3 linked regions of the Pelodiscus sinensis genome follow. The protein of the gene in region 2 interacts with the protein of the main gene of each other region in a pairwise test. Links are inferred from orthologs where the notes say so. Each region holds a gene or a part of one and is shown on either strand. Other genes may lie near its edges. The genes, in order: TRIM37, MCM10 and CEP72.

Evidence for each region.
Region 1: the proteins of MCM10 (region 2) and TRIM37 interact in a two-hybrid assay, tested with the Homo sapiens proteins (2 studies listed by BioGRID and IntAct). The link is inferred for Pelodiscus sinensis from reciprocal best matches to the Homo sapiens genes MCM10 and TRIM37.
Region 3: the proteins of MCM10 (region 2) and CEP72 interact in a two-hybrid assay, tested with the Homo sapiens proteins (2 studies listed by BioGRID and IntAct). The two-hybrid records come from large-scale screens. The link is inferred for Pelodiscus sinensis from reciprocal best matches to the Homo sapiens genes MCM10 and CEP72.

What each region holds. Positions count from the first base shown.
Region 1 is NC_134731.1:5,328,358-5,336,404, reverse strand, and holds the start of TRIM37 (E3 ubiquitin-protein ligase TRIM37), read left to right. Parts: upstream 1-4,992; 5' UTR 4,993-5,005; coding exon 5,006-5,159; exon of another isoform or gene 5,160-5,267; coding exon 5,268-5,365; intron 5,366-8,047. UniProt on the Homo sapiens protein: E3 ubiquitin-protein ligase required to prevent centriole reduplication. Probably acts by ubiquitinating positive regulators of centriole reduplication.
Region 2 is NC_134711.1:13,735,090-13,742,784, reverse strand, and holds the start of MCM10 (protein MCM10 homolog), read right to left. Parts: upstream 3,079-7,695; 5' UTR 2,754-3,078; intron 1-2,753. UniProt on the Homo sapiens protein: Acts as a replication initiation factor that brings together the MCM2-7 helicase and the DNA polymerase alpha/primase complex in order to initiate DNA replication. Additionally, plays a role in preventing DNA damage during replication.
Region 3 is NC_134712.1:145,501,767-145,509,379, reverse strand, and holds the start of CEP72 (centrosomal protein of 72 kDa), read right to left. Parts: upstream 3,047-7,613; 5' UTR 2,798-3,046; coding exon 2,737-2,797; intron 1,923-2,736; coding exon 1,795-1,922; intron 126-1,794; coding exon 1-125. UniProt on the Homo sapiens protein: Involved in the recruitment of key centrosomal proteins to the centrosome.

The sequences.
Region 1 (8,047 bases), on a different chromosome or scaffold from region 2:
TATCCATAGAGGTTAGGAACAAGCACACTGAGGAGTCTGAATCTCTTCTTTATTTGGCTTGGCCCTTGGATCTTAGATAGTGAATAGGTGATCAGTAAGACAAAGGCTTTCTCCTCCAGGTGTAACTTTATAAGGATGGGTCAGAAGATAGACAATTTGCATTCTCTTCCTTCCAGTTTTCTCCAAAGAAACCTACTTGGCTGTCTACATATACACTTTGTTTTAGATAGCCCTTTGAAGCTGATAGCACTTTCCAGGGTTTACATTAATCACTTAATCAGGTTTCCTCCCTCAAGGTGCTGCATATGATTTCACAATAACATATATATTTGTAATGCAGTGAATTCCTAAAACGCTGACACTTAATTCAATAAAGGTAGTATAGAATATTGCGAGAAATTGCCCCATCTATCACAGCATACCTTCTGAGTCTCTCCATAACTGATTTCTGTAAGTCAATGGCCTGACTTAGTCACCATTCCAGAACATCTTTTTAAAAAAAGAAAAAATGATAGAACTAGATAAAGGCTGCTTCCATGGGACTGCAGCTCTACATAATATCAGTTCAGTCATGCAAACTACATCTCTCTTGGACAACAACTACTGATTCTAGCACTTCAAGCTGCTGTTTTGCAGTGATATGTAGGTGTTGGCTCCATAACTATGGACAAGGAAATGACTTCCTTAAGATTCTATTAACTTTTTTGTTTTTCCTTAAGGTTTTATTTTTAAAGAAAGAGGACCGAGGACAACTTGGCTGCGTCTAGACTGGCCGCTTGAATTTCCGCAAGAACACTGAATTACTGAATTCAAGAACTGAGGAAATACTGTGCTGCTCCCTTTTGGGCAAAAGTCCTTTTGCACAAAGCTTTTTATTTTGATATACACTAGAGGATTTACCTGGCATTTCTCCAGTCCTTGTGGGGGAACAAGGCGGATGTGGGTGAAGGAGTCAGGTCTGGGGGCAATTATTGGAGTGCATATGATAGTAAGAACTGTGCTGCTCTGGCACCTATGGCCAGGCCTGGCCCATGTCTACACTGGGGGGAACAGAGGGAGTCAGTCACTCTGGCTAGCAGCCCCAGCCAGTGTCTCTGGGAGCAGGGAGGGGACCTTGCTGGTTAGCCAGCAGTTACTTGGTGGGGAGCCAAGGATAGGCTGCCAGGCCCTGGTGGTGCTCCTGGGGGGACCTGGGCGTGAGGGCTACTGGCTGGCAGAGCCCCCATCTAACATGAGGGGATGAGAGGCTTGAGGTGGTGGGGGGACACTTACTCGGGGCCAGTGAATGACAACATGGAGAGCCCAGGCTTCAGCTGGCCACTGTCTTCCTGGTGCAGCTGCCCCACTGCGGTCACTGCACCCCATGCTTGCTGCCTGCAGTGATCATTGCAAAGTACAACTGTCCCTGCTCTCTGTCCCTTCCATTTCTGTGTTATGGAAAACAATCCCATTCCAGGCATCTCTCATTTTCCTGGCACAACCAAACCCTGACCTTGCTATAAGATAAGAGGGAGCTGCATACTAAATTTGGTGGCCCTAGCTCTTACTGTTTAGGAGGAATTCTTGAACAAACAGACACGGACGGACTCACTGACAGGCACACTAACTCTCTAAAATTATAAAATAATGGTTCTGTTCCAGTATCAGGCTGCTTTGCTTTTCCCTTTTTCTGGATTGATAATTATTAAATTGCTTCTGCCACTTGGGTGAACTGATACGAGTGCAGGTGGGCAACAACTGCATCTGAAATGGTGCTGACTGTGATTTTAAAGGCAAATATTGCCAAAGATAAACCATCGACCAGGCCATTCTAGAAATTGGTTAAACTGAGTTGTCCTTACAACTAAATTATTTAGTAGGGATTTGTTTGCCCTGTTGCTGAAATACACTGTCAGCAACAGGTTACTTTGCTAACTTAGGCAAAGCTAAAGACAACCAAGTATACAATGCATAGCATTAGAAGGATTAAGGTTTAACAGCTGCTTCCTGCAGTTGCAGAAAATCAGTAGGACTGGCCAGTTTTTCCGGAAAATCAGCCACTTTTCCGAAAAAACTTGCCAGCTGTCTACACTGTCCGCTTGAATTTCCGCAAAAGCACTGACTTCCTACTGTAAGAAATCAGTGCTTTTTGCGGAAATATTATGCTGCTCCCATTCGGGCAAAAGTCCCTTTTGTGCAAAACTTTTGCGCAAAAGGGCCAGTGTAGACAGCTGAGATTTGTTTTGCGCAAAAAAGCCCCGATCGCGAAAATGGCGATCGGGGCTTTTTTGCGCAAAAGCACGTCTAGATTGGCCACGGACGCTTTTCCGCAAAAAGTGCTTTTGCGGAAAAGCGTCCATGCCGATTTAGATGCTCTTTTCCGAAAATGCTTTTAACGGAAAACTTTTCCGTTAAAAGCATTTCTGGAAAATCATGCCAGTCTAGACATAGCCCAGGATTGCTGGCATAAAGCACAGGTAGTAATGGTCTAAGACCTAAGATCAGAGCTATACTTTGAAGAAATAGATGTGTGGATCTGCAACAGCTATAGGGAACTATTTAAACTTCTTTAGGAGTTGATGATGTCATCAACTGTAGCAGGGGCTACAGAGAACACTGAGCTGTGTAGCTGGCAGGTATGTGACAAGTGGTTTACAAGTATTTACTAATAATGCCAATCTGACTGATTAAAATAACGTTGAGCCTTCGTCTCCCTTCCCCCCACCAAAAAAAAACCCCAGGAAACTGACATACCCATTAAGTTCTTTTTATTTAACCCCTGTGGGTATGTATAGCTTTTAAAGCTTTTCTTTGGAATCCCAAGGCCTAGAAATTTAATTTTAAAAAATCAAACAAAAAAAGCTGATTATTGCCTAATCACACAATTTCAAAATTTCAGACTTTACAAAAAACAGCAATATTGTAAGATTTGGCAATATTGACACTTTAAGCTAGTTGGAGTAGGGCGCGCTGCCCCTTTGAAACACCACTGCAGTGTTTCAAAGTGGCAGCGCTGTGTGAAGCCCAGAGTCAGCTGGGGAGTCCCCTGCTGATCCTGGGCTCCAAGCCACTTTGAAATGCATAAGAGCTCCTGATCAGGACTCTTGTACACTTCAAAGCTGGCATGTCACAGGGAGCCAGGGGTCAGCTGGGGAGACCCCCCTGCTAATCCCAGGCTCCAAGCAGTGCTGCTGCTTTGAAATACTACGCGGAGTCCCCAGCTGATCCTGGGCTCTGTGCAGCTTGCCAGCTTTGAAATGTACAAGAGTCCCCAGTGGGGGCTCTTGTGCATTTCAAAGAGGAAGTGCAGCATGGAGCCTGGGGCCAGTGCAGGACTCTGAGTCCTCCATGTGGGTGCTTTGAAATGCACAAGAGCCCCCACCTGGGCTCTTGTGCATTTCAAAGTGGAAGCACCTGCAAGGAGCCTGGAGTCAGCTGGACTCCTGCTGGCCCTGGGCTCCAGATGGTGTTCCAACTTTGAAATGCACCCGAGCCCCCACTGGGGCTCTTGCACATTTCAAAGGCAGAACGTCGATGTGCCTATGGGTAGTAAAGGGAAATTCTATTGACTACTCGACTAATAAATTAATTGCTTGTTAATATTAAGTTGGAGCGGAGATGGTTGTTTTTTATGGGCTGGATTTTTCAAAAGAGCTATGCACTCTTAACTCAGAGAAATCAGTGAGAACTGTTTGTGCTCCATATTTCAAAAAAATGGTGCCCTTTAATCTGTATGGGGGAATTCTCTTTAGGATAGATGATGGCTAAAGTAATGTTTAATAGATTTGCGGGCCGGATGTGTTTTTAAAATGGTTATTTTAATCACAGACATATAGAATTGAAACACAGGAAAATTGTAGCCTATTATTGCTACCCTTTTCTGCTTATTAGGGTGGCTCTTTAAACAAAAAAAATCTGTTTACAGTAGGCATGTGAATGGTTAACTGGTAAGCATCACTCTTATGAAACACCACTACCGTTTCAAAGTGGCAGCACTGTGAGAAGCCCAGAATCAGCAAGATAAGCAAGTAATGCTTATCCGTTATGGTTAAGGAGCTGGATCAACCTCTTCCTTTACCCCAGTCAACTCAGAGAGATTAGTCTTCAGCCTCACCCCTTCCGCCCCAGACCCACCCCTTCTGGGCGTGTGGCTGGTCCACAACCAGGTTCCAAAATTCATTCAATGACATCCTTCCCCGAACCACGAGGCAGGACACAATAGCCCCAAGGTGAGCAGCCTGCCTCAGCTAGCCGTGGTGCTTGTCTGACCTGACTTGCAAGAAGATCTCTAACTTTGCATTGGTTTTTCTATCCCTCTCCCCCCCCCCCTTGATTTGTGCTGTAGGGACTCACTCAAGCCTTTCTGTTCCACAGTCTTAAAATCCCTTTTTGCGCTGACTAAATCAGCCACGCCAGGGCTCATGCTACTGCTTGGGAAGCAGGCCAGTGTCCTCTTCCCAGCTCCAGTGAGATTAGAGGCTGGGGCGGAAGATGGTGCATGTTGCTGCCTGCAGAAGATGGGGGAGGGGAGCTCAGGCATACGAACCGGCCTGCAAAACTGGGACACGGTTACCCTGTTTCACCTAACGCTGCAGCAATGCAGGGAGAGGCGGCTGCACGTTCTGCTGCTGCAACCCGCTGCAGTGGGGGCGGGGAGGGGCCAGGCATAGGCAACTGATGCTACTGGGGGAGGGACCCCACTGAGCAGTTACATTTTTGGCGGGGATCTAGCGAGGCGGCTCGCGCCCCGAGTGCTACCACGCGTCCCTACCGGGGCCAGGTTTCCCGCGATGATTTTAGGCTCACCAGGGAGGCAGCAAATCTGGCGGGGCCAGGACCCAGCCCTGGCACAAATGAAGCGGGGGCCGTGCCCTAGGCTGACTCTGCAGCCCTGGGGGAAAGTGGTGCGGGGGGGGGGGTGAGGCGCTGTAGCCTCTGGAGATGCTGCATCTTGCAGCAGGAGGTCGCACCCTCTGCAGATGCTGGAGAAGGGCGGGAGGTGGGGGAGGGGCGGTACCCTTTGCAGATGCTCCCCCTCGAGGCGGCGCCTGCGCGCTGCGGCCAGGCGGGTCGCGTGACGGAGGGGGCGGGGCCGGGCCGGCTCTCCTCAGCCGCAAGGCGGGAGCGCGAGCGGAGGGCGGAGCCGCCGGCGCCCCTGTCTCCCCGGGCGAACATGGCCGGTAGCTAGTGGGGCCGGGGCGCTGCGGAGGGAGCCGGGCCGCTGCGGAGGGAGCCTCTCCCGCCCGCGGCTCCTCACGCTCTCCCCACCCCCCCCTTCTCTCCCGCAGGGGCCGCGTCCGGGACCTGCTCCCCGGGGCGCTGGGGAGCCGCCCCGCTGAGGGCGGGCGCCGGGCGAGCCGAGGCCATGGACGAGCAGAGCGTGGAGGTGAGGGGGCGGGGAGGGGCAGCGTCCACCTGCCGGGGCGGGCCCGGCTCGGCTCCCCTCACGGGCGGGAGCCTGCCTCAGGACGCCTGGGTTCCGCCCCGGCTCGGCTCCCCTCACGGGCGGGAGCCTGCCTCAGGACGCCTGGGTTCCGCCCCGGCTCGTTGCGGGAGCATCGCTCTGCTGCTAGGCACGTCTCTAAAACAAACCGCAGGCGGCCGCCAATGCTCCCTCTCGTTAGTGTTTTTCCCCCCCGCCCCGGGACGGAATAAATTTTATGGTGTGCGCGGAGGCACGCGCGGGTGTGCACCACCCGGCGGAACGCACGCTGCCGGCGGTGGGAGCTCTGGGCAGCACCTGAATCTCTCCTGGGGGCCCGCCCAAGCGCTCCGCTGATAGGGTAACCGGGCGGCCACCTGTGCTGGCTGCACATCCTTGGCCACCAGCTAGAGTGGCCTGTGGGTCTTCACATGGGGGAAGGGAGGTGGTGTTTGGGCTGTCAGCCTCCGACAGAGCCCGGGGGGTGGGAATAACAAACTAGAACCTGATCTCTACGAGAAACCTAAGTTGACCTCGCTGTGGTGCTGGGGGTGTGGGAATTGCCCAAATTTTTCACACCGCTAGGAGGCGAACTGAGGTTGATCTAAGACAAATCAATGGCTGGGTGCCACCAGGTTGTGCAGAGAGACTGATGTTCGATGTATTAATATGTGGCCTGGTAAAGGGAGTAGTATGCAGTGGTGAGGCAAAAATGCAGGTCACACAAGTATTTAGATTAGTCCGGGTTCTTCAAAAAATCTTCTCAAACTCCAGAGACATACAAGGAAGCTAGGAATGGAAAACGTGGTGGCTGATGAACTTCAGTTTTTACAGGGGAAAGGTAGAACGCACGTTGGAAGGAGTAATTGGAACCCATCGTACATTGTGCTGCAGTATAGTTGTAACCACACAAGAAAATAGTCCAGACATCATCGTGGATGGTGTTAATGAAAAAACATAAGCTCAGTGTGCAGTGATAGGAAATAAACAATTCTGTCGTGTAGGAAATACAGAAAATGCTACAGGTTGCCCCTCTGAAAACTGGCACACGCTGGTCCAGCAACATGCCGGACTTCGGATGCTCCTGGACCAGAGAACCCAGCAGGATAATGTCAAGAGGGCCAGCTGGATCTGGGGGCAGCAGGAGCCCCACAGCAGTGCTGGGGCCAGGGATTGAAGGGGTGGGGATCAGGATGGGGCTGGGGAACCCCAGGTGCCTGCAGCAGCACAGCCAGAAGCTGTAGAGCCTGGCTGTTCACAGCAGTGGAGCCAAAGAACCCTAACAACCTGTGGCAGGCAGCAGAGGATCAGGGGGCCAGAGAAGCCCAGCCACCTGCAGCAGCGTGGGGCTGGGGATATCTGACCGCATACAGCAGCATGGGCCAGACAACCCCAGCCACCTGTGTCGGGGCGGCTGGCTCAGGCCTGTGGCAGGGGATGCCTCCCTGATCCGGCAAATTCCTGACGGTGCAAGATCAGGGAGGTCCAACCTGTATAATGCCACTTTTATAAAGAAATAAAAGGTTGTCCTCATCTGAAATACTGTATTCAGCTATGGTCACTCTTTCTCAAAAATTATAGCAACAGCAAGAGGTCAGAGATACAAAATAAGTGGTTTTGAAGTCAGGATGCGAATGATTAACTGGTTAACCGGTTAACTGGTGGGGCCTAGAGCAGCACCCCCTGTAGGGTGTCGCAGGTAGGGGCAGCTCCTGTGGGCCTGGGCACCCTGCAGGCAGGGGCTGCTCCAGCCCAGCTGCGGACAGCGGGGTGGGGGTACTCTAGCTGGGCTGAAATGGCCCTCCTGCTCACCTTCCCTTTAACCAGCTAACCCATTAGTGAATTAAACAGGATTTTACATCTCTATTTTGAAGTATGGAAAGATTTATGTAAGAGAGCAAGATGAGTGAGACTGTTTAATATAGATAGGAGTTAAAAAGGGTTTATATATATTGGGAAATTGACCATCATATCTATAGCAGATTAACTATTCAGCTATAGTTACTCTGCGCTAAGTGATTTTTGAGTTCTTACATGGATTTTTTTTAACAATTTGTCCACATCTTTTTTAAATTGTGGTGTCCAGAATTGGACACAGTACTCCAGCTAGGGCCTCAGCAATGGTGAGAAGAATGAGACCATTAACTTTCATGTTTTTACATACAACACTTCTGTTGTTAAACCCCAGAATCATACTAGTCTTGTTTGCAGCTGCATCACATTGGCAATTCATATTCAGTTTCATGTTGATACATTGGAGATGGTTCTGTGAAGAGCCCCAACAGTGTTAAAGGATTGGAAAGCATGCCTAACAGTGAGTGATAGACTTAAGGAGCTTGAACTTTCTAATTTAAAAAAGAGAAGGTTAAAGAGTGAGATCAGTTTGTAAGTACCTACATGGGGAAAAATTATTTGACAATACTATTAAGTTCAGCAGGCTATTATACCAAGATCCAATGACAGCAAGTAGTTAGACAACTTCAGACAAGAAATGAGGTGTACATTTTTAACAGTGAGCTAATTAATTAGGATAATTGGATGTTTCTTTAAAAAATGTGCTCTAGTTGAAATATAACTCCACAATAATTCCAATGGCCTGCGTTAGCAGGAGGTCAGATTAAATGATCACATTGGCTCTCCTGGCTT
Region 2 (7,695 bases):
CAGGAAGCCCGGGGCAGGGGCTTCCTGTAGTCAGCCACTGGTCAGTTTCAGCAGCGGCTGACTTGGGGACGCCTGGGGCAGAGCAGCTGGGGTGCTGCTGGGTTGGTCCAGTAGCGCCGCCGCTCCTCGGCGCTACTGGACCAACCCAGCAGCACCCCAGCTGCTCTGCCCCAGGCATCCTGATTCAGCCGCTGCTGAAACTGACCAGCAGTGGCTGAATCAGGACGCCTGGGGCAGAGCAGCTGGGGTGCTGCCGGGTTGGTCCAGTAGCGCCCAGAGCGGCGCTACGGGACCAACCGGCAGCACCCCAGCTGCTGCACCACAGGCATCTGGAGCAAAGCCGTGGAGCACGGGGGCAGCGGGACAGCCCAGACGCGCCGTGGCTGTCCTGCTGCCCTCGGGCTCCGTGGCTTTGCTCTGCTTTGCTCCCCGTCCCCCTGGTCTGCGGACCAGGGGGACAGGGAGCAAAGCGGCGGAACACGCGAGCAGCGGACAGCCCAGACAGCGGACAGCGTGCTCCGCGGGCAGCGGACAGCCCTGTCCGCTGCCCGCGTGTTCCGCCGCTTTGCTTCCTCTCCCTGGTCTGCTGGAGACCAGGGAGAGGGAGGGCCCCGTTCGTAACTGCGGATCCGACATAAGTCGAATCCACGTAACTCGGGGACTGCCTGTACTAAAATCAAGTAACCCAGATTAGTTGTATATGACTTGGGGTTTGTGTGCATGCATGTACGAATAGAGAGGTATGATTTTGTAGTGTTTCAGTGTAGACACTGCCTATGCCTGCCAATGTAGCTACTCCATCTGCCTCTGAGAGGGGTGGATGGAAAAATTCTTCCGTTGACTTGGTGTTGTCTACAGTAGGGTTTAGATTGGTATATGTACACCTTTCAAGGGTGTGGATTTCTCACATCCCTGAAAGATGTAGCTAAACTAATGTCTAACAAAACATGTAGATATCATGCGCTTTTGTGGGCGCAACCTACTTCTCATTATACCACCTACATGTTTTGTTAGTCTTTAAGGTCCTACTAGACTATTTGTTTAAGTTTTTCCTGTTAGGGTGTGTCTACACTACACCGTTCTGCCGACGGAGGGATGTAGATTAGGCACTTCGAAAGTGCAAATGAGCCCAAGATTTACGTTGGGGTGCTGTGCCAATCACGAGCCCTTTCGAAAGTGAAAGTGAAGTCTAGCCACAGCTCTGCCGATAGCAGGGAGCTTTTTCGGCAGAGCCTGTACTCATTTTTTGAGGGTGCCAATACACAATTACTATTACTAATGCACAAAAAGGGGAATTTTTTTTTGTAGCACAGGTAAGGGAATTTGAAACACTTGAAATTAGAACTTGCAAAACTCAAATGAATTAAGTAGAATTTAAAAGAAGTCAAACATTTATATGGATACAAACTATCCAGAGCTCTAACAGTTAATGCAAACGAGAGTTTTGGAAGGGGTGCCCCCCTCATGTGTCAGGTCTTGAACACAATAGACTGTTAAATGTTAGGGCACAGCATGAGACTTGCAATGGGGTAGATTACCAAACATCTGGAGACAGCAACATTCTTGTACATTTCTCTGAAACACTTGGTGGCATTGTCCCAGAGAGCATACTAGACTCAATAGACCTGGGGCTAGCATGGCAATTAGGTTTTCACAGAATTACTATGCTAAGGTCCACCCAGGCACACAGCAAGGCACAGGGAGCTGAAGACATAACATTTGAAACATCATCCCCTGTAGCAGGGGTGAGGGTCCAGTGGGTGCAACAGGAGACTGGGTGCAGCATGGGGGGGATCCGCGGTTACAGGGCAGGGTGATGATGGAGAATTCAGGGATGAGTGGGTTTCATTTCTGACCCTCTTCCCAATCTCTTTGAATTACTTGTGAGATGCTTCACAGTGGTGACTGCCTCATGAGCATTCAGACAGACCCGCCTCCCGGATCTATCCCGGACTCCCCTCCCAGCACCTTCCCTTCCCTGAACACCTCCAGAGCCCCCCTCGCACCCCAACCCCACATGCCCCAGCTCAGAACCTGTCCCCCACTGGGCTCCCATCTCCTCCCTCCCCCAGGGATCCCCAAACCCGCCTCCCACCCAGGGAATCCACAACGCTGTTCTCTTCCCTTCCTGGAGCCCTTCTCCCCCCCCCATCCTTCCACCAGGGACCTGCCCTACATCCCCTAGCGGCACGCACCTCGCGTCCCATGGGCTGCGCCCCTCAGAGATCCCCTCCTAAGAACCCACAAGCTTGATCTCTCCTCCCCGGGCCCCCCCCCCGATCTCTCCTCCCTGGGGTCCCCCCCGGATTCCCACCCCCCCCGGTTTCTCCTCCCCGGGCCCCCCCCCCGATCTCTCCTCCCTGGGGTCCCCCCCGGATTCCCACCCCCCCCGGTTTCTCCTCCCCGGGGTCCCCCCCCGAGCTCTCCTCCCCAGGGTCCCCCACGGATCCCCACCCCACCGGTTTCTCCTCCCCGGGGTCCCCCACGGATCCCCACCTCCTTCGATTTCTCCTCCCTGGGGGTCCCCCCCGGATTCCCCCCCCCGGATTCCCACCCCCCCCCGATCTCTCCTCCCCGGGGTCCCCCCCGGATTCCCACCTCCCCGGTTTCTCCTTGCTGGGGTCCCCCCCGGATTCCCACCCCCCCAGTTTCTCCTCGCCGGGGTCCCCCCGGTTTCTCCTCCCCGGGGTCCCCCCCGGATCCCCACCTCCCCCGATCGCCTGCTCCGGGCGGCCTCCGACCCCCGCACTCACCGCGCCTAGCTCCACTCCTCTGAGGCACTTCGGGTCACCCGCCAAAATTCTAATTAGGCCCCGCCTTTCCGACTCCACGCAGGCGCGGCTGCCGCCTCCCGGAGAGACGCGGGAGTGCTGCGCATGCGTACAGCGTCTCTGGTCCGCCGAACGGCTCGCCGCGTGATCGGCGCCATCTTTAATAGGGGCAGCTGGGCCCTAAAGAGAGTAGCGTTGTGAAGCCAGCGGCGCCATCTTGCTTCGGGGCACGCACGCATCCGGCTCGGCGGCGGCTGCCTGTTACTCCTCGTCCTCCTGCCGGAGAGCCGGGACGCAACCTCCCAGGGCAAAGACCGCTGGCAGTTGGCCGAGCGCTATGATGATGTGATGTCACAGAAAGCAGGGTGATGACATCACACCATCGCTTACGTCACTAACTGCAGTAGTGGCGCTACGTAAAAGGGACAGGGCTGCTCTCTTGTCACTCACACCCTACCCTGGGGCACCCCACGTGGGTGTCAGGCCCGTTCCCTGGGGCTTTCTGCAGCATCACAGTGTTACATCCCAAGGGACAGCTGCATGACACCCCCCCCCCCAGGCGAACCAACCTCTGGGCCCTGATAAATCGCTGGGCACCTCAGGAGGATGCCCCACTTCCCAGGCAGCTGTACGGCACCTGGCCCGAACCACTGCCCTACCTCCAAACAGGCCACCATTCCCCAACTCTGTGCAGTTTTTTAAACTCAACTCAGCTACCTGCCAGCCTTCAGCAGTTTGCTCGGCTTCAGACTGTAATTTCAAGGGGGATAATTACATTCTGCCTATGTAAAGTAGCACCTAGGGATTGTAGAGTATCAGAGGGGTAGCCGTGTTAGTCTGAATCTGCAAAAGCGACGAGGAGTCCTGTGGCACCTTATAGACTAACTGAAGTGTAGGAGCATAAGCTTTCGTGGGCAAAGACCCACTTCGTCAGATGCCACCCACTTCGGCATCTGACGAAGTGGGTCTTTGCCCACGAAAGCTTATACTCCTACACTTCAGTTAGTCTATAAGGTGCCACAGGACTCCTCGTCGCTTCTAGGGATTGTAGTAATTTAAATTAATGAGGGGGGGGGTAAGAGAGAGGGGGAGAGAAGAGACTTTTCCCCAGTTTGCTTGCAGTTTTCTTTTTCTAATTTGCTTGCATTGTGCATTTGCCAGTTTTTGTGTGTGCAGTCGGTTACAACATTTCCCATGTTTAGTCAGGCATGAGCCTGCACAGCCACATAAGAGTAGTGCTATTGAATGTGCGTAGGGTTGGAGGCCTTATTCAATTTCTCCCTTGTACAAAACACCCTTATAAATGTAATGCAGAGGTGCTCCAGAACAGAGAAGGGCACAGTCTGGACTCAGATCCTAAATATCTTAATCCACTTGGAAATTAGTCAACACAAATCTAGTGGTCACTTGTTTTGTCGGCTTCTTGTTTTGTAAAGGAAAATTACTTATTAAAGGCTGTACAATATCAGTAACAGGTTATACAAATTGTACTGAATATTAGAAAATGGAATAACCAGTGGGATCAAGAGAAATTTTTTCAAGTTCCACCAGATGGCAGAAATAACTTGCTAGTCTAAAATGTCAATTTAAGCTCTGTAGAGAGCTGCATTGTTGAGCACAGGTGGGACCCAGAGGTGTAGCGAGGTTGTTATGTGCCCGGGGGCAAAGGAAAATTTTGCGCTCTCCCCCCCCCCCCGCTGCTGCCACCATGTGGCACAGCCCCGAACCTGGTGCACAGCTGAGGGGAACTTGTACGTCATCTTCCCGCACCCCCTACAGTTTGAGGCCGGGCTCCCACATGCACTAACCTGCCAGTGGAGATGGAGCAGGGTCAGGCTTGGAGCAGCGAGGCAGGGAGGAGGTTCTAGCTGCCGGTAGCAGGTGGAGTAGGAGCATGTGAGCTGAAGGGATAGTGGGGGGAGCAGAATGGGATTAAATTGGAGCCTCCCTAGCATTGTGCCCAGGGGCAACTGACCCCTCTGACCCCCTTGCTACATCACTGGCCCCCCCTCCTGCAGAACTATCATCTTATGCATGTGCAAGATCTGTGAGAGTCATCCCGTGAATCTGCAGTTAGTGTCTGTGGCGCCTGCTTCTGGGTGGTGTCTCAATGCTGCCACATTCATCTCCAAAGAGGGGGCTTCCCAAAGCAGGCCCTTGCTGCTGACCCCCAAGGCATCCACAGGTCCAGTCTCCTTTCAATGGGCCCACTTCCCAGGGCTCATTGATCTTGGATCTGGCTTCCATTCCCTCTCCAACCTTTGCAACTGCCCAGAGGTGTCACCTTCCACCTTATACATTCCCACCTCATTCACCCCACAGGGACAGTGTCTGCCTCACTTGTCCTAGGGACTATTCTACCAAGACGTAATACAAAGTTTCCATGTAAAAGGACTCAATACAAAGCTAAAAACTTCAATGAGAATGATTAATACAGAGAGGTGTCTACATCTGCTGCAGGGAGACTCCTCTGCCTGCCTCCACCCCTCTCCCCCCCAGAGTCTACAGCCCCATTGCAAAGTGGGGGAGGGAAAGAAAAGAGGTTGAGGCCCATCCAATGGGACTGAAGCAGTCATGAGCAAGCCATGCCAGGGAGCCATTCCCCTGTCCATTGCTGGTATTGTGTTGCTTCAGGCATGCTGAAATGCAGTCACCTCTAGGGTGGGCTGGACAGCTGATTAACACCTGCACAAGGTTTCAGGCAAGGAACATTGTGGGCTGCCTTCCTGCAGAGCCCCTATCCGAACTACTGAGCCTTCCTGGCTTAGGAAAAAATAAACAGGAGGACTGGAAATTAACCCCCCCAGTCTTACATCCCCTAGGCAGGGAATGAGCCATCTACATTAGGCCCCAGCTGGAGTATCATGCCTAGTTCTGGGCGCCACGTTTCAGGAAACGTGGAGAAACTGGAGAAAGTCCAGAGACGATCAACACAAATGATGAAAGGTCTAGAGAACATGAGATATGAGGCAAGGCTGAAGGAATTGGCCTTGTTTACCTTGGAAAAGAGAAGACCGAAAAGGGACATGAGAGCAGCTTTCAAGTATCTAAAAGAGTATCATAAGGAGGAGGAAGAAAAATTGTTCTCCTTGGCCTCTGAGGTTAGGATGAGAAGCAATGGGCTTAAATTGCAGCAAGGGAGGTTTAGGCTGGACATTAGGAAAAACTTCCTGCCTGTCAGGGTGGTTAAACACTGGAATAAATTGCCAGGGAGATTGCGGAATCTCCATCACTGGAGATATTTAAGACCAGGTTAGACAGACACCTGTCAGGGATGAGCTAGGGCAACTCAACTTTGGAAGCTCTAGGGGCCACACTGATACTTACAGAACATGCTGAGGGCCTCAACTTAAGTGTGGTTGCATATGCAAGCAAGTATATACAAATAGCTTCTCTCACACAAGACAGGCATGAATACAAAGATTAAGGCAAAACTATACAACACACAGGCCCCATTTAAGTCAGTTCTTCTGATATTAATAAAATGCAACATTTACCCAATTTCTACCCACGTGAAAGCACTTTTCATGAGCAATGACAGTCCAAGAAATTAACTACTAAAACACATATCAACAGAAGATCATTACACTGACTACTTTTTTGTTTTAGCTCCCACTTGCCGGCCACGTGTTGATCTCCACATAAACCCAAACTGCACCGCGGGACGCAAACAAACTGGCCGTGGGCAGCATATCAAGTTATTAATAAATATTTTAAAACCTTTACCTTTTCTCTCTGCTGCCATGTCTCCTCTCTTCGCTCCATCATCTCCTCTGGTGCCTGCTGGCCTCCAACTCCTCACCCTCCTCTGCTGTCCTGACTCCTGCCCTTCTCACTGCCCTCAGCCCTCCTGCGACCTGCCCCCCTCCACCAGCCCTTCTCTCCCTCCTGTGCCCACTCCTCCAGTAGCCCCACTCTGATCAGATAAGCTACCCCTCCTCATCCCCTCTTCTAACACCTCCCTCTACACACCTGCCCTGCCTCTCTCCTCTGATGCTGGTCCCTCCTCTGCAGGTGTCTGCCCTTCTGCTTCACCCCCAGAATCCCCTGGCACCTGCACATTCCCTTAGCCCTGAACCCTCCTGGTGCCTCCCCCTTCCCTCACTGCTCCTGCCCCCTTTTTCCCCTGATACCCACCCCCTCACCACCCTCTGCCCCCATTCTCCTCATGCCCGTGTGCCCTCACACGACTTGCTCCATCCCCACCCCTCCTTTCAAGCCTTCTCCCAGCACCTCCCCCTCTCCCCTCTAGACCCTAATGCCCTTACCCTCTCGCAGCATCACCCTGTCCCCCTTCCACTTACACCTCCCCTCCTGCCCTTTTCCTCATTGTCTGCACTTGGCCCCCTGCAATTTGTATCTTCCCTCTCCCCTCCCCCTCCGCACAAGCCCCTTCCTCTCCCACCCCTTCCCTGCCCTGCTGTACCTTCTGCCTTCCACTTTGTGGGGCCAGACTCTGTGCTCGGGCCCCAAAAGTCCTTGGACTCTGAACTGGAAGCTAGGCTGTGCGGCCCCACATGGCACCACACACTTTTAAAGTCCCGGGCCGTGACATCACATCACGCCCGGGCGTCTCCCCGGTCACCTGGAAATGCTGTACATGGCGGCAGCAGCAGTCGGCAGCGTGCGCAGGCAAGGGGGAGCCGACTGAATGCTGCGCACGGCAGGGACGGTCCGGGGCTGGGGGGAAAGACGGCCAATAACTCGCCGCCCATGCACCCAGCATGCGCTCGTTCTCATCCTGGCCGGCAGCCCCCTAGCGTGATACCCGGGGGCAATTGCCCCTTCGCTACGCCTCTGGTGGGACCTCCCTGGTCTGACACCATCAGGATCTGAGCGGTCCTAAACCACAGTGGTTGCCGGATCAGGGGAGGTCAAGGCTCCCCTCCCAGCTGTTGGCCCTGCACCCTACCATAGGCCTGCC
Region 3 (7,613 bases), on a different chromosome or scaffold from region 2:
GGGTTCAGGCGGAGGTCCACATCCTTGAGTGCAGCTAAACTATGAAGTCGAAATATTTCTGATAGTGATGAAATGTGATTGTAATAGAGATTGATCTTTTCTAAAAATATCAAATGCTGAATACCCTGTTAATGTATAGAAAACAAAAATCATATTAGTTTGTAATATAAACTTAGTTTTTGTTGAATGAAATACACTAGGTCACTGGTATAAATCAAAGCCAGACAAGTAGTGACTTAGCACTTTTTTCTATCTGCCTGTAGTAGTTTGGTGGTCTATATGAAAAGGGATGTTGGTCTAAAAAAAAAAAAAAAAAAACCTCATTCTAATGACACTGAAAACACTTTTTAAATTAAAACTTTTGCTGAGCAAGATGAGCAATTATTGAATTTAAAATACTAATTGAGCACCTCAAATACTGACACAAATCTGAGTTCTTCAAGCTATCATATGCTACAGATATGAATTTTCTTCATTAGTGTATTTTACATATTAGCAGCAGAAAGTGGTTTCATTAAACTAGCTATGATGTGCTAGCTATGCTCATACCTCAGACTTCTGTAGAGTTAAGCATATTGTTGCTGTTCTTCACAAAAAAGGGTTGAGAGAAGCAATTGCACTTATACTCTCATCCTGCAAAGTTTTAAGCACGTGCTTAATTCTAACCACAGGGAGTCCCAGGGGCATTGGATGAACTCATGTATTGAATTAAATATGAGCGTAAGTCTTTTTAAGATCAGAGCCACAACAGAAAAAGGTGATGGATTGACAGTACTTAATCTATTATCCTGCTTCAACTACAAAGGAGTATAATACAGGTTTGGTAATTAGTGTTTCACTATACCAAACCGCTGAAGTATCTTTGAGAAAGGCAATGTGTTATATTTTCATACATTAGTTCAGACTCTGTGCTATCTTTTGCTGAGACTTTTATCAAGGGTACCAATTATAATCTGGACTCCCACCCATCTGGAATTAGACAAACGATTTTATGATTTTATACACAGTGCTTTTGAACAACCAACAGAAAATAATTTTTGACCACTAGCCCAAACAAGGGATGTGAAGGACTAGTTGACTATCCAATAAGCAAACGTTTATCAGATAGTCAACTAGTCGCTTCCCCCGCCCCTTGCTGCCTCTATAACAGAGGCAACAAGGGGGGGAAGAAGAGTAGGGTACTTCAAAGTGGCAGCACCGCATGGAGCCTGAGGTCAGCTGGGGACTCCCCAGCTGACCCCAGGCTCCACGCGGCGCTGCAGCATTTCAAAGTGGCAGCGCCACAGGCACTTTCACCTGGGGCAGTTGCTATACTTCAGTGCTGGAGGCACCCTATCAACTAATCAAATAGCTGATGCAAAAATGCATCAACTATTCGATTAGTCAATTACCTGATACTTAACATTCTTAGCCCAAACTAGATCAAAATTGTCATGTGGAAATAAAACATTCTATATGCTGTTACCAATGTTCCAAAGTAATGCAGAAACATTTACCTTATTAAAAAAAAAAGTTACAAGTGGGACCTCTCTGGTCCAGGAGCTCTTTGGTCCAGTAATATCCGCAGTTCTTCTGGACCATGGATGTTGCTGGACCAGAGTCCCAGAAAAGAAAGGTTCAACCTGTACCAGGTTTGCAAAGAACAAAATCCTCCCCCAATGTTGTTCCAATCTCCATAAAACCCTCAATACAACTCCTCCAATTCTCTTGTCCTTTCTCCACGACTTCAAGAGCCAACCTATTCTTGTTACATTTGTCTTAAAAAATAATTTTAAAAAATTAAGATAAACATACCTCCAAGCTAACCAATGCATTGCGAGAGAGATCTAAGGATTTTAGGCGAGTGAAATTTTTCAGAGAATGTCCTAAATGAGTAATCTTTTCATGATAAGTTCCAGGAAGAGACAATGATCGGACATCAGCTACAATGAGAAAATTTAAAACCTGAATATATTTATCATAAGAAAAATGAAATTACTAAAATTATTAAAATAAATTTCAAATCTACCTGATTATTGATGTGACAGACAATGCAGGATGAAGCTGTTCAATTTTTATGATTTTTAGCGTTGTGTGTGCCCGTGAATTAGAAATATTTATCATTGACAAGTGGAACTAAAAACAGTAGGGACTGGCTTCCTTATGCCTATTAGGGAAAATGTTAAACTTCTTGGGGGTATGCTGCTTGGTAGAAGTGCAAAGGGGACCTAAAGCAGATAATACACTTCCATCTGTATTGCTTCCCACCAGGCAGTCTGCAAGGTAACTGAGCCAGGAAGACAGAGGACAAGCCCACAAAGAGCATTCTGTTTCTATTCTCAACTCTAGTGACAGTCACAAGTGGCCAAAGAGGGGTGCCCCTATAAATTGTTTCTTGCAATCAGATCCCATCTATAGCCACTTGTGTACAGAGTATACCCACAGGCAGTAACTCCAAACTCCAGCACTCTCTGGGCCAGCAACATCCCTGATCCGGCAGAACCTTGGATGCTCCTGGACCACAGAACCCGGGAGCCCGAGGGCAGCCACAACAGAGATCGGGCCCTCCCATTGGTCAGAGGTGCTCGGGGCGTGACCACGACACAAGCCCCGCCTATTTGTTTTCTGCCCCGCCGCGATCCGCCGGATTAACGGTTTTAACCGCCAGGGCGAGGCGGAGAGGCGTGTGGGCGGGGCTGACGTCTCCGGGCGCCTGCTACCGCGAGCAGCAGCGCCCGCGGAAGGGGAGTTGCTTACCCAGGTTCTGGTGCCGCAGATTGACTCTCTCCCGAATGGCCTCCTCCGTGACCGCCGCCATCGCGTTCAAACACTGCGCATGCGCGCTGAGATACTGCTGCAGCTCCCCGCCGGAAGCGCCAATAGATACCGCGAGGGGGCGGGGCTTGCGGAGGGGGCGGGGGCTCCGGGCGGCGCCCTCTGCCCGCTCTGAGGCCGGGCGGGAAGCGGCCCCGCAGTCAGTTCGTTGCGGGGCGCAGCCTGTGGCGCGCGGCCGTGCTGCGGATGCCGCGTGGTTGTGCGCCTGCGCGGAGGTGCATTGCGATCGTCGTGCAGCAGCAGCAGCGCCCTCGGCCAGAGCCTTAGCAGGGCCTCCCCTCCACCGAGCTGCTGGCTCTCTGGGCATGGACTGAACTATTCTGTTAGTGGGGGCCGCGGAGCCTGCCCAGTAGCAGCATTGCCCGGCCACGCTATAGAGAAGCTCCACCGCCTTCGTAATGTGCAGCTGGACTGTGCGGATTCGCTGGGACATGGTCTTGGTGTCAGGGATACGCCTTTTGCTAGCCCTGTCAAAATCAATTGAGTTGTCTGAGGCGCAGTCTGCATTTGCACGTTACTGCACAGGAAAATCAGCCCTTGTCACGCTTACTTTCAAGGTGTTTACAATGGTAAGGCAGCTGCTTTTGCAGAAAAACTTGCCAGCTGTCTAAACTTCCCTTCTTGAATTTCCGCAAGAACACTGATGATCTCATGTAAGAAATCAGTGCTTTTTGCGAAAATACTAGGGTGCGCCCGTTCTGGCAAAAGTCCCTTTTGCGCAAAAGGGCCAGTGTAAACAGCTGAGATTTGTTTTGCGCAAAAAAGCCCCGATCGCGAAAATGACGATGGAGGCTTTTTTGCGGAAAAGTGCGCCTAGATTGGCCATGGCTGCTTTTCCGCAAAAAGTGCTCTTCCGGAAAAGCGTCCGTGCCAATCTAGACGCAAAACTTTTCCGTTAAAAGCATTTCCGGAAAATCATGCCAGTCTAGACGTAGCCACCATGTATGGTCCTGGATTGAACCTGCAGTCTCCCAGAAGACTCTTGTTTGCTTCCCTGCTCACCCTAAGCAGCGAAATGTCTTCCATGATTAATACAGCCTTTGGAAATTGAGTGACTATTACTAACAATTAGGCCCCCACACAGTGGTGTTTCCAAGTCACACCTGCCCAGAGTACAGTAGGGTCCTGCACCAATGAAAACCCCTGTTCCTCAGCACCAAGAAATTTCCTGCCCCCATGCATCAAGGAATTCCCTTGCCCTAGAGATGAACTCACCATTGTATGATTCTGTATCTTATGTATGCTCACTCCAGGATAGTGAGTCAATGCTAGGAATGTGAACAATGGAATGTCAATAATGGACCCTCTGTAAGTGTTGCAGATTTGTCTTGACAGAGCTGAACTTTGGCATGCTAGTCTGAACTGATATCACCTGTGGAAAGGCTTCACAAAGCAAGAAAATGGCCCCAAAAGACTTGAGAGGAGTTTTTGCATGACATCCTGAGTCTCACTGCTGCTGAGAGAATTGAAGGAGTGGAGGGACAGTGAGAGGAGGGAGCAGAAAGAAAGCACAGAGTAGCTCTTAACCTAAACATTATGGAGTAGTAAGTGGAAACACTCTAGGTGCAATTTAGCATTTCAGACAGAGCAGCTGTGCAAATGCCTCCCCCACCCCCTGCAGCCGGTGTCCCAAAACTGTTTTCCATACACGTTCCATCACTGCCAACACAATTTGGCCACCACCACCACACTCCACATCTACTCCCTCAATCTCCATCCATGCAGACTCCCACAGGCCCCTCCCTGATGCACTCAACACCCATCCCCATGAGGTTTAGCTCTGATGAACTGCAGGCCCTCTTGCACAGCAAGGCTGCATATGAAACCTAGACATAGAAAAATACATGAGACTCTGTGCTCCTTTCATAGCCCTGGTCTCAGGCTGTTCAAACTCAGCTTCCAGACGCTGAGCTTCAGCAGTCCAGGCCTGAGTGAAGCTTTCACCCCTCCTTTCGCAAATATTATGGAGGGTACAGCGCATGCCAATAGTCATAGAGATGTTGTCATTGTCCAGGTCCAGCTTCCTGTACAATCAACAGCAGCAGGCTTTCAAACACCCAAAAGCATACTCCACAGTCAGCCTGCTATTGAACTGCTCTTTACTGTTGTCAAGGCTCCTTGAGTATGGCTTTATGAGCTATGACACTAAGGGGTAGGCAGGGTTTCCAAGAATCACAATGGTCATTTCCACTTCCCTCACAGTGATCTTCTTGTCTGAGAAGAAAGTCCCCACTTGCTGCTTTCTGAATAGGCCAGTATTCCAAAAGATGCATGCATTATGCATCTTTCTGGGCCAGCCTGCACGAATGTCTGTGAAATGCCCACAGCGATCCACAGGTGCCTGCAGAGCCATGGAGAAATGCCCCTTGCTGTTAATGTACTTGGAGGCTTGCTGGTCTGGTGCCAGAATTGGAATATGTGTGCCATCTATTGCCCCATCACAGTTCAGGAAGCCATCCAAGCAGAGCCATCCACAATTTCATGTACATTGCCTAGAGTCACAGTCTTGCAGAGTAGGATGAGACTGATGGCCCTGCACACTTTCATTAACATGCGTCCAACAATCAACTTTCCCACTTCAAACTGATTGGCAACTGAGCAAAAGATGTCGGGAATACCCAGCTTCCACAGTGTGATCACCGCGTGCTTCTCCAGCAGCACGGCAACTCTCATTCACGTGTCCTTGTGTTGGAGGAAAGCTCAGCACACAATCCTATGAAAGTGGTTTTCCTCGTCCGAAAATTCTGCAGCTATCATTCCAGGCTTGCATGACAATGTGATCCCAACACTCGATGCTTGTTTCCTGAGCCCAAAGGTTGTGTTCCACTGTGCTCAGCACCTCTCTGAATGCCTCCTCATTGTCACTTTGCAACTTCAGGAATAACTTGGCAGAGCTCCCAGCCACTAGCCTCCCTGCCACCAAGCTCCTGGCTGGCAGGGCTTCCAGCTCCAGGATTCTCTGGTCCAAGAACATCTGTGGACCAGAGGGCATGTCTACACTACACGGAATATCGACACTGCCATGGCCAATATTCTGGGATTTGAATTAGTAGGTCTAGTGAAGACATACTAAATCGAACTCAGAGGGCACTCCTGTCAGCACTGATACTCCTGCTTCCTGCAAGGATTAAGGGAAGCTGATAAGAGTATTTGCTCCCATTGACCTCCCACTCTGTGGACAGTTATTTAAGATATGTTGACTCCAATTAACGTAGCTTGAGTTGTGTATCTTAGGTCGACCTTCTGCTCCAGTGTAAACTAGGCCAGAGAATCCTGGTTTAGGTAGTTGCAACCTGTAGTAGCAAAATGAGAAATTCTCCCAAAATAAACATCTAAAACATCTCGGCTGCGTCTAGACTGGCATGATTTTGCGGAAATACTTTTAACGGAAAAGTTTTTCTGTTAAAAGTATTTCCGCAAAAGAGCGTCTAGACATGCTTTTGCGCAAGAAAGCTCCGATGGCCATTTTAGCCATTGGGCTTTCTTGCGCAAAAAATTAAGGTGCCTGTCTACTACATTCAAGCGGCCAGTGTAGATTGCTGGCAAGCTTTTGCGCAAAATCTTGCCAGTCTAGACACACCCCTCTAGTATATTTGGAATGGCTAAAAGAATTGTCAGAATACAACTTGGATGGAGAAAAAAACTTATCATCAACAAAATGAGAAAAAATATACTAAAATTCAGTGTCATATGGATGCATTGATGTAATTGTGCAAAGTATACCTCGTGCATAATGTATTTCTAAACAAAATTAAGATTTTGCAATGAGTCTTTTATTAAATAATAAAGGAAAAGAAAACAGAAGCTAAAAGCAGAAAACAATAATCCTATCTGTTTGCTTTCTTCTGACCATACTAATGTCCTTAAATACAATGGGTTTCATTCTCCATTGGCTTACACTCTACCCTCTACATTTCTTTAATTTTAATGAGATAGTGTCAGGTGTGTATCAGAGCAGAATTTTTCCCTCTGTCTTCCTGCCTTTTGATCTGCTCTTACATTTTTTAACAATCTTGTTCACTAGCCTTTGTAAATGATTTTCCAAAAACATTTGTTCTGTTGACACTAGAAAAAGATAAGCTATCTAAGAAGTAATTAGCCATGGAATATTGCTTATGAGAGACCTATTTTAACTTTGGACTGCATTGATTTTGAACTGGATCAATATGATTCTGACTCAGCATATTTTTCTGATATATGAATTCAGCACAGACGAATGCTTATAAATCTTACTTTGTTTAATACCTCAAGTGAAGTTCAATATTAATAAATTTGAATTTGAGATAGATGAGATTTTGAAATTTTCAAAGTTGCTGCTTGATCACATTTTTTATTTCATTGTAAAAGAAAATCTGTATGTGACCATCTTGAAATGGCTAGCCTTTGCATCAGCACTCCCCTCCATCTCTTTCTAAGCAATGGTGGAAAGTGAAGTTAGACTACTGAAAATGGATTGCCACAACAGCTCTTTTATTCTTTTAGGGTACGTCTAGACTACAGGCTTCCATCGACAGAAGTTTTGTCGACAAAACTTCTGTCGACAAAGAGCATCCAGACTACTTCTGTCGACAAAGAGTATCCTGACCGCGGGACGGTCTGTCGACTGAAGAAGACACCCAGAAGTGCTTCTGGAAGGTCACAGAGGTAGCCTTAAAGCCCAGGCACTGCAGCATGCTCTCTGCAGAGACGCATGCTTAAAGTGATCCTCCTGGACAGCCGGTGCTCTGCTCCTGCTTCTGGCTTGCCTACCTCCTCGAGGGAAAGCAAAGCTGCTGCAGTTTTTTTGGCTCTGGTTGCCC